2 linked regions of the Xenopus tropicalis genome follow. The protein of the gene in region 1 purifies or fractionates together with the protein of each later gene. This does not show direct contact. Links are inferred from orthologs where the notes say so. Each region holds a gene or a part of one and is shown on either strand. Other genes may lie near its edges.

Region 1 (3,935 bases):
TTCAGGCTGGGCCCCCTTAGCCCATAACAAGGTTACAGATATATAGAAACATTGGGGTAACAGTCACCCTGCTATAGTTCCAGGGGTACCAGGGCACAAATAAGCACTCACCCCAAATCCCCCCTAACTGGCCTTCAGGCTGGGCCCCCTTAGCCCATAACAAGGTTACAGATATATAGAAACATTGGGGTAACAGTCACCCTGCTATAGTTCCAGGGGTACCCAGGGCACAAATAAGCACTCACCCCAAATCCCCCCTAACTGGCCTTCAGGCTGGGCCCCCTTAGCCCATAACAAGGTTACAGATATATAGAAACATTGGGGTAACAGTCACCCTGCTACAGTTCCAGGGGTACCCAGGGCACAAATAAGCACTCACCCCAAATCCCCCCCTAACTGGCCTTCAGGCTGGGCCCCCTTAGCCCATAACAAGGTTACAGATATATAGAAACATTGGGGTAACAGTCACCCCGCTATAGTTCCAGGGGTACCCAGGGCACAAATAAGCATTCACCCCAAATCCCCCCTAACTGGCCTTCAGGCTGGGCCCCCTTAGCCCATAACAAGGTTACAGATATATAGAAACATTGGGGTAACAGTCACCCCCCTATAGTTCCAGGGGTACCCAGGGCACAAATAAGCATTTACCCCAAATCCCCCCCTAACTGGCCTTCAGACTGGGCCCCCTTAGCCCATAACAAGGTTACAGATATATAGAAACATTGGGGTAACAGTCACCCCCCTATAGTTCCAGGGGTACCCAGGGCACAAATAAGCACTCACCCCAAATCTCAGCAGACTGCAAGGCTGATATAACCCTGACATGCACCAAAATTCTAACTGCATCATAAAATTCGAAATGACATTTCCGACTGTTCATAAATGAACCCCCGAATTCAGAGACTCACTCTATTGGCCAATTATATACAGTGTTTAGGGGTGAATAATCCCAATACTGAGCCATTCTGAAGCCTAAGAGAAACCAATGCACTTTCCTGTATCACATAGAAAGAATATATTTTAGGGTTTATTTCTCCTTTACATTTTCTTTGAGTCTCATGATATCTCTGAGGGAATATCCCAAGGTTCTTATCTCTATAAGTACTGTATAGGGGCACTGCCCGACCAATGAAATTCTAGGGACCCCCATGTGAATTGTTTAAACACAGAATCTGATGCTGAGGGTCAGTGATTATCCTAATTACTGTCATTCCAGGTTATAAAGTTGTAATTAACACAGAAAAGGCTTTATCATAGTTGTAGAACTAAAATTCCCAGAAACTCTTCAGCACCTTCAGCCCAGCAATGCAGGAAAGCGAATACCCAAACAGGGCTCTGGGTGCCACAGGGCTCTGGGTGCCACAAGGTGCTGGGTGCCACAAGGTGCTGGGTGCCACAGGGCTCTGGGTGCCACAGGGCTCTGGGTGCCACAAGGTGCTGGGTGCCACAGGGCTCTGGGTGCCACAGGGCTCTGGGTGCCACAGGGCTCTGGGTGCCACAAGGTGCTGGGTGCCACAGGACTCTGGGTGCCACAGGGCTCTGGGTGCCACAAGGTGCTGGGTGCCACAAGGTGCTGGGTGCCACAGGGCTCTGGGTGCCACAGGGCTCTGGGTGCCACAAGGTGCTGGGTGCCACAGGGCTCTGGTGCCACAGGGCTCTGGGTGCCACAGGGCTCTGGGTGCCACAAGGTGCTGGGTGCCACAGGACTCTGGGTGCCACAGGGCTCTGGGTGCCACAAGGTGCTGGGTGCCACAGGGCTCTGGGTGCCACAAGGCTCTGGGTGCCACAGGGCTCTGGGTGCCACAAGGCTCTGGGTGCCACAGGGCTCTGGGTGCCACAAGGTGCTGGGTGCTGTAGTTCAACACCAATTACGCCAGATATATGTACATAGATTGTGTGGTTGGACATTACGGGTTCCTGCGGTCGGTGCTATTGATTAATAGTCTCCCCATATAAAATATGAGCTGCTCCTGTCCGCAGTGTGTACGGCTGCTATTCCCAGACATGGGAGAGGGGGGGGCTGACTTTTATTAAAACAGCTCAGACAATAGACATGCAATAAGGCCCGATGTTGCTACCCTTGGCTACTCCCTAGAAGCAGGAGGGTTAACCCCTAATGTAATGCTGCCCCATTCAGTGGCTGTTCCAGGGCCAGAGGGAGCATCTCTAGGGCTGACAGCCTCTGTATAAACAAACCCACATGCTATGTATGTACAGCCCCCACTCCCTGGCGGGGAGGCATCTGGATAAGAAGTCGGACAATTTAGAAAGCAATCACCCAGCACCCTCATTAGCCGCCTCATTAGTGCTGAAGTTTAATTACGTCCCCTTTACCTCAGTCTCTGCCCTGTGAGATTCCCCAGCAGGTAAAGGTTCCACTTTGTCCGACTGAACTGCAGCTCTCAGCAGCCTCACAGCCAATGGGGGAAGCAGGGCAAGTGCAACCGCAGGGTCGGGGCTGACAGAAGGGAGGGCTATTTAGCTCTATGGGAGCCAATTAGAGGAATAAAGCCCGTTATGCAGCACCCAGTGTGGGGGGCTGAGCCCCTAAAGCTGTAGCCGGGCTGAATGGCAGCCACCTGATCCCTTTGTGTGAGAGGCGGACGGGACCGGCGGTGCTGAGGCTGCGGCTCCGGGCAGGGAATGGCAGGAACATCCCTAGCGGCGACTTACCGGCCTCCACTCCCGCAGTGTCGCGTCCTGCCGCAGGCAGATGTCCCCGACTCTCCCCGGCTCCCAGTGCCGGCTTATCCCCAGCTGACTGATCGCTCGCTGCCACCCAGGGAACTCCCCTCCGGCCGCGCCCACTCCTGACATCAGAGGCGGCAGCTGGCAGCGGGCACTGGGCGGGTACCGGCCCTTCTGTCTCTCACAGCTGCCGGCTATGGGCTTCTATGGGTCCCGGGAAAGCGATGCCATTTGGTAGTTGGTATGGCCTAAAATCGGGGTCAATTTGCTGCATTGCTGCTCTGCCCCAGGATGGGGGTCTCTGCTCAGGATGGGCTAATTCATACAATAAGATGAAGACACACAGAGCTACTAGTAGCAGCTACTTGTCACGGCTACTAAAACAGACAATGCTGACCATTTACTGATAATTGTCTCTACGTGTGTTTTAGCAGAGGCAATTCTCAGTATTGTCTATGGCAGGGGATTTGCTGGTGTTTAGTAGCCGTGACAAGTAGCTGCTACTAAGTAGTTCAGTGTGTCTTCGCCCTAAGAAAGACTATATGGATATCCTATGTGCGGATTAGTGATGAGCAAATTTTTTCGGCAGGCATGGATTCGCAGCGAATTTTCGCATTTCGCCATTGGCGAATTGTTTTGCGAAGCTTCCGTGAAAATTCGCCTGTGGAAAAATTTGTCACGCGTCAAATTGGACACGGGGACATAAAAAATGGTCGCAGAAGCATAAAAATTGGGCATCAAAAGCGGGGGAGACAAAAAAAAACACGCGACAAATTTGTTTTCTTGCCGTTTCACGAATTTTATGGCAAAGCAAAATGGGACAGATTCGCTCATCACTAGTGCGGATAATGTAACCTATTACTATTACCAGGGCCGGAACTAGGGGTAGGCAGAAGAGGTACCTACCTAGGGTGCAATGATGGGGGGCGCCAGGCAGGTACCTCTTCTGTCACCTACCACCGGTTCCGGACTCTTGCCCCGACTGTGCAGCGGCCCCTGTAACCCCCGGTACGCACGGGGGTAGGGGGGATGTTGGCAGTGGACGGGCCAAGCCGACAGGTTGCCTAGGACTTACTGCCCCGACTAAATCCCCTAAAGTTTGGGAATGAGGCGCTTTTCATGAAGCTGTGATTTGAGTAGATGCTGCTGTAATCCCCTGACTTGTGAGTGCACACTCAGGGTCCAGAAGGGTTAAAAATGAGGAGAATGGGGTTGGGGGGGGCAATTGCCACCCTATGTGCCATCCC
Region 2 (4,058 bases), about 190 Mb from region 1:
GTTCCCCTTTAAACAGAAAGAACCTTTGGTCCAGTAATTTTTTTTTCTGCGAAGTGGAGTGCCTTGGTTGAGGGTGGGGGGGCCTTGGTTGAGGGTGTCTAGGTTGAGGTGGGGGGCCTTGGTTGAGGGTGGGGTGTCTAGGTTGAGGGTGGGGGTGCCTTGGTTGAGGGTGGGGGTGTCTAGGTTGAGGGTGGGGGGGCCTTGGTTGAGGGTGGGGGTGCCTTGGTTGAGGGTGGGGGTGCCTTGGTTGAGCGTGGGGGTGCCTTGGTTGAGGGTGGGGGGGCCTTGGTTGAGGTGGGGGGCCTTGGTTGAGGGTGGGGGGCCTTGGTTGAGCGTGGGGGTGCCTTGGTTGAGGGTGGGGGGGCCTTGGTTGAGGGTGGGGGTGCCTTGGTTGAGGGTGGGGGTGCCTTGGTTGAGGGTGGGGGTGCCTAGGTTGAGGGTGGGGGTGCCTTGGTTGAGGGTGGGGGTGCCTTGGTTGAGGGTGGGGGGGCCTAACAAACTGGCACCCCCAATGAATTCAATGTTCCTTCTCCATAGGAAAGAACTGAAACACTCAAACCATCCCAAGAAACAGAGAAAGCTTCCAACATGATTGGGGGTGTGGTCAAGGTGGAATAGGGCGTGGCAAAGAGGCCAGTCCTACTAAAGTTCGCCCTATGGACAGGCACATTGCTAGGGATCTGTTAGCACTCCGGTTAATGGAAGCACAACCCCTCTCTGAACTGAACTGCTTTGACTTGGCACTGCCATTATTTCTCCTACAGACTCTCTATCACTAAAGCAGTTGGTACAGTCCAGCAGTACATTGTGCCTGAGCAGCAGCGCCACCTAGCAGCCTGAGATACACATTGCAGCTTCACTGGCAGCAAAATGAAAGTCTCTTCTTTCCTGGAGAATAACAAGGCCGCCTCCGTGTTTCTGATGACCCCTCCCATTCCCCGCCCACTTTATCCGTCACTGTAAAAAGTCTAAAATAACAAAAAAAAACACAAATACAAGAGTATTGTAGAAATGATATGTAAAAAGTCTATTAACCCACACGCATTTTTCTCTAATATAAACCCGCTCTGAATATTTGCAACCTCTTCGCCCATTGGATTCTAAAGCGCCCACCCACTTGACGTTAGGTTTCAGTTTTACCTCTTCCTGCGGAAAGCGCATGCGCGGACGTATCCTGAGGTGGCGTCATTCACGACGTCATATCTCGGCGCTGTCAGGTGACGGCTTGCTGGTGCGACTGTACGGGCGGAGAGCAGGGAGACGGTGCGCAGCTCATGCCCTTGTCCTGCGGTTCCTTCATGTCGGCTTGTGGGCTCCCACCTCCATAGGCTCCCTACCTGGGTAAGTCTCCCACCTCCATAGGCTCCCTACCTGGGTAAGTCTCCCACCTCCATAGGCTCCCTACCTGGGTAAGTCTCCCACCTCCATAGGCTCCCTACCTGGGTAAGTCTCCCACCTCCATAGGCTCCCTACCTGGGTAAGTCTCCCACCTCCATAGGCTCCCTACCTGGGTAAGTCTCCCACCTCCATAGGCTCCCTACCTGGGTAAGTCTCCCACCTCCATAGGCTCCCTACCTGGGTAAGTCTCCCACCTCCATAGGCTCCCTACCTGGGTAAGTCTCCCACCTCCATAGGCTCCCTACCTGGGTAAGTCTCCCACCTCCATAGGCTCCCTACCTGGGTAAGTCTCCCACCTCCATAGGCTCCCTACCTGGGTAGTCTCCCACCTCCATAGGCTCCCTACCTGGGGTAAGTCTCCCACCTCCATAGGCTCCCTACTGGGTAAGTCTCCCACCTCCATAGGCCTCCCTACCTGGGTAAGTCTCCCACCTCCATAGGCTCCCTACCTGGGTAAGTCTCCCACCTCCATAGGCTCCCTACTGGGTAAGTCTCCCACCTCCATAGGCTCCCTACCTGGGTAAGTCTCCCACCTCCATAGGCTCCCACCTGGTAAGTCTCCACCCATAGGCTCCCCTACCTGGGTAAGTCTCCCACCTCCATAGGCTCCCTACCTGGGTAAAGTCTCCCACATCCATAGGGCTCCCTACCTGGGTAAGTCCCCCCACCTCCATAGGCTCCCTACCTGGGTAAGTCTCCCACCTCCATAGGCTCCCTACCTGGGTAAGTCTCCCACCTCCATAGGCTCCCTACCTGGGTAAGTCCCCCACCTCCATAGGCTCCCCTACCTGGGTAAGTCTCCCACCTCCATAGGCTCCCTACCTGGGTAAGTCTCCCACCTCCATAGGCTCCCCCTCCATAGGCTCCCTACCTGGGTAAGTCTCCCACCTCCATAGGCTCCCTACCTGGGTAAGTCTCCCACATCCATAGGCTCCCTACCTGGGTAAGTCTCCACATCCATAGGCCTCCCTACCTGGGTAAGTCTCCCACATCCATAGGCTCCCTACCTGGGTAAGTCTCCCACATCCATAGGCTCCCTACCTGGGTAAGTCTCCCACATCCATAGGCTCCCTACCTGGGTAAGTCTCCCACATCCATAGGCTCCCTACCTGGGTAAGTCTCCCACATCCATAGGCTCCCTACCCGGGTAAGTCTCCCACATCCATAGGCTCCCTACCTGGGTAAGTCTCCCACCTCCATAGGCTCCCTACCTGGGTAAGTCTCCCACCTCCATAGGCTCCCTACCTGGGTAAGTCTCCCACATCCATAGGCTCCCTACCTGGGTAAGTCTCCCACCTCCATAGGCTCCCTAACCTGGGTAAGGCTCCCACCTCCATAGGCTCCCTACCTGGGTAAGTCTCCCACCTCCATAGGCTCCCTACCTGGGTAAGGCTCCCACCTCCATAGGCTCCCTACCTGGGTAAGTCTCCCACCTCCATAGGCTCCCTACCTGGGTAAGTCTCCCACCTCCATAGGCTCCCTACCTGGGTAAGGCTCCCACCTCCATAGGCTCCCTACCTGGGTAAGTCCCCCACCTCCATAGGCTCCCTACCTGGGTAAGGCTCCCACCTCCATAGGCTCCCTACCTGGGTAAGGCTCCCACCTCCATAGGCTCCCTACCTGGGTAAGTCCCCCACCTCCATGGGCTCCCTACCTGGGTAAGGCTCCCACCTCCATAGGCTCCCTACCTGGGTAAGTCCCCCACCTCCATAGGCTCCCTACCTGGGTAAGGCTCCCACATCCATAGGCTCCCTACCTGGGTAAGTCCCCCACCTCCATAGGCTCCCTACCTGGGTAAGGCTCCCACCTCCATAGGCTCCCTACCTGGGTAAGTCTCCCACATACAGCTGCCTGCTGAGGATTGTGGGAGTTGAAGACTGGCTATTGCGTTGCTAACAGCCTAACTGAGGGGAACACTGGGCTGCCGGCCATTTCTGATGGACCGTTGGATAAAATAGGGCACCGAGATGGGGAACCCGACAGTGTTGCAAATTGGCAAACATACCCTAGTGTGGCCGGCTGGTAGCTTCTATTCCCTGGGGTGGCTGCTAGGGGGGGCTTCTATTCCCTGGGGTGGCTGCTAGGGGGGGCTTCTATTCCCTGGGGTGGCTGCTAGGGGGGGCTTCTATTCCCTGGGGTGGCTGCTAGGGGGGGCTTCTATTCCCTGGGGTGGCTGCTAGGGGAGGGGGGCTTCCTATTCCCTGGGGTGGCTGCTAGGGGGGGGGGCTTCTATTCCCTGGGGTGGCTGCTAGGGGGGGGGCTTCTATTCCCTGGGGTGGCTGCTAGGGGGGGGCTTCTATTCCCTAGGGGGGGGGCTTCTATTCCCTGGGGTGGCTGCTAGGGGGGGGTGGCTGCTAGGGGGGGGCTTATATTCCCTGGGGTGGCTGCTAGGGGGGGCTTATATTCCCTGGGGTGGCTGCTAGGGGGGGGCTTCTATTCCCTGGGGTGGCTGCTAGGGGGGGCTTCTATTCCCTGGGGTGGCTGCTAGGGGGGGCTTCTATTCCCTGGGGTGGCTGCTAGGGGGGGGGCTTATATTCCCTGGGGTGGCTGCTAGGGGGGCTTCTATCCCTGGGGTGGCTGCTAGGTGGGGGGGGGCTTCTATTCCCTGGGGTGGCTGCTAGGGGGGGCTTCTATTCGCTGGGGTGGCTCCTAGGGGGGGC

Evidence for each region. The genes of interacting proteins can lie anywhere in the genome.
Region 2: the proteins of mapk4 (region 1) and fastkd5 purify together in Homo sapiens (affinity purification with mass spectrometry; 3 studies listed by BioGRID and IntAct, with this or other methods). This does not show direct contact. The link is inferred for Xenopus tropicalis from reciprocal best matches to the Homo sapiens genes MAPK4 and FASTKD5.

What each region holds. Positions count from the first base shown.
Region 1 is NC_030677.2:204,984,521-204,988,455, forward strand, and holds the start of mapk4 (mitogen-activated protein kinase 4), read right to left. Parts: upstream 2,805-3,935; 5' UTR 2,674-2,804; intron 1-2,673. UniProt on the Homo sapiens protein: Atypical MAPK protein. Phosphorylates microtubule-associated protein 2 (MAP2) and MAPKAPK5.
Region 2 is NC_030677.2:12,511,488-12,515,545, reverse strand, and holds the start of fastkd5 (FAST kinase domain-containing protein 5, mitochondrial), read left to right. Parts: upstream 1-1,252; 5' UTR 1,253-1,341; intron 1,342-1,715; exon of another isoform or gene 1,716-1,748; intron 1,749-2,065; exon of another isoform or gene 2,066-2,151; intron 2,152-2,186; exon of another isoform or gene 2,187-2,237; intron 2,238-2,515; exon of another isoform or gene 2,516-2,545; intron 2,546-3,103; exon of another isoform or gene 3,104-3,158; intron 3,159-3,178; exon of another isoform or gene 3,179-3,226; intron 3,227-4,058. UniProt on the Homo sapiens protein: Plays an important role in the processing of non-canonical mitochondrial mRNA precursors.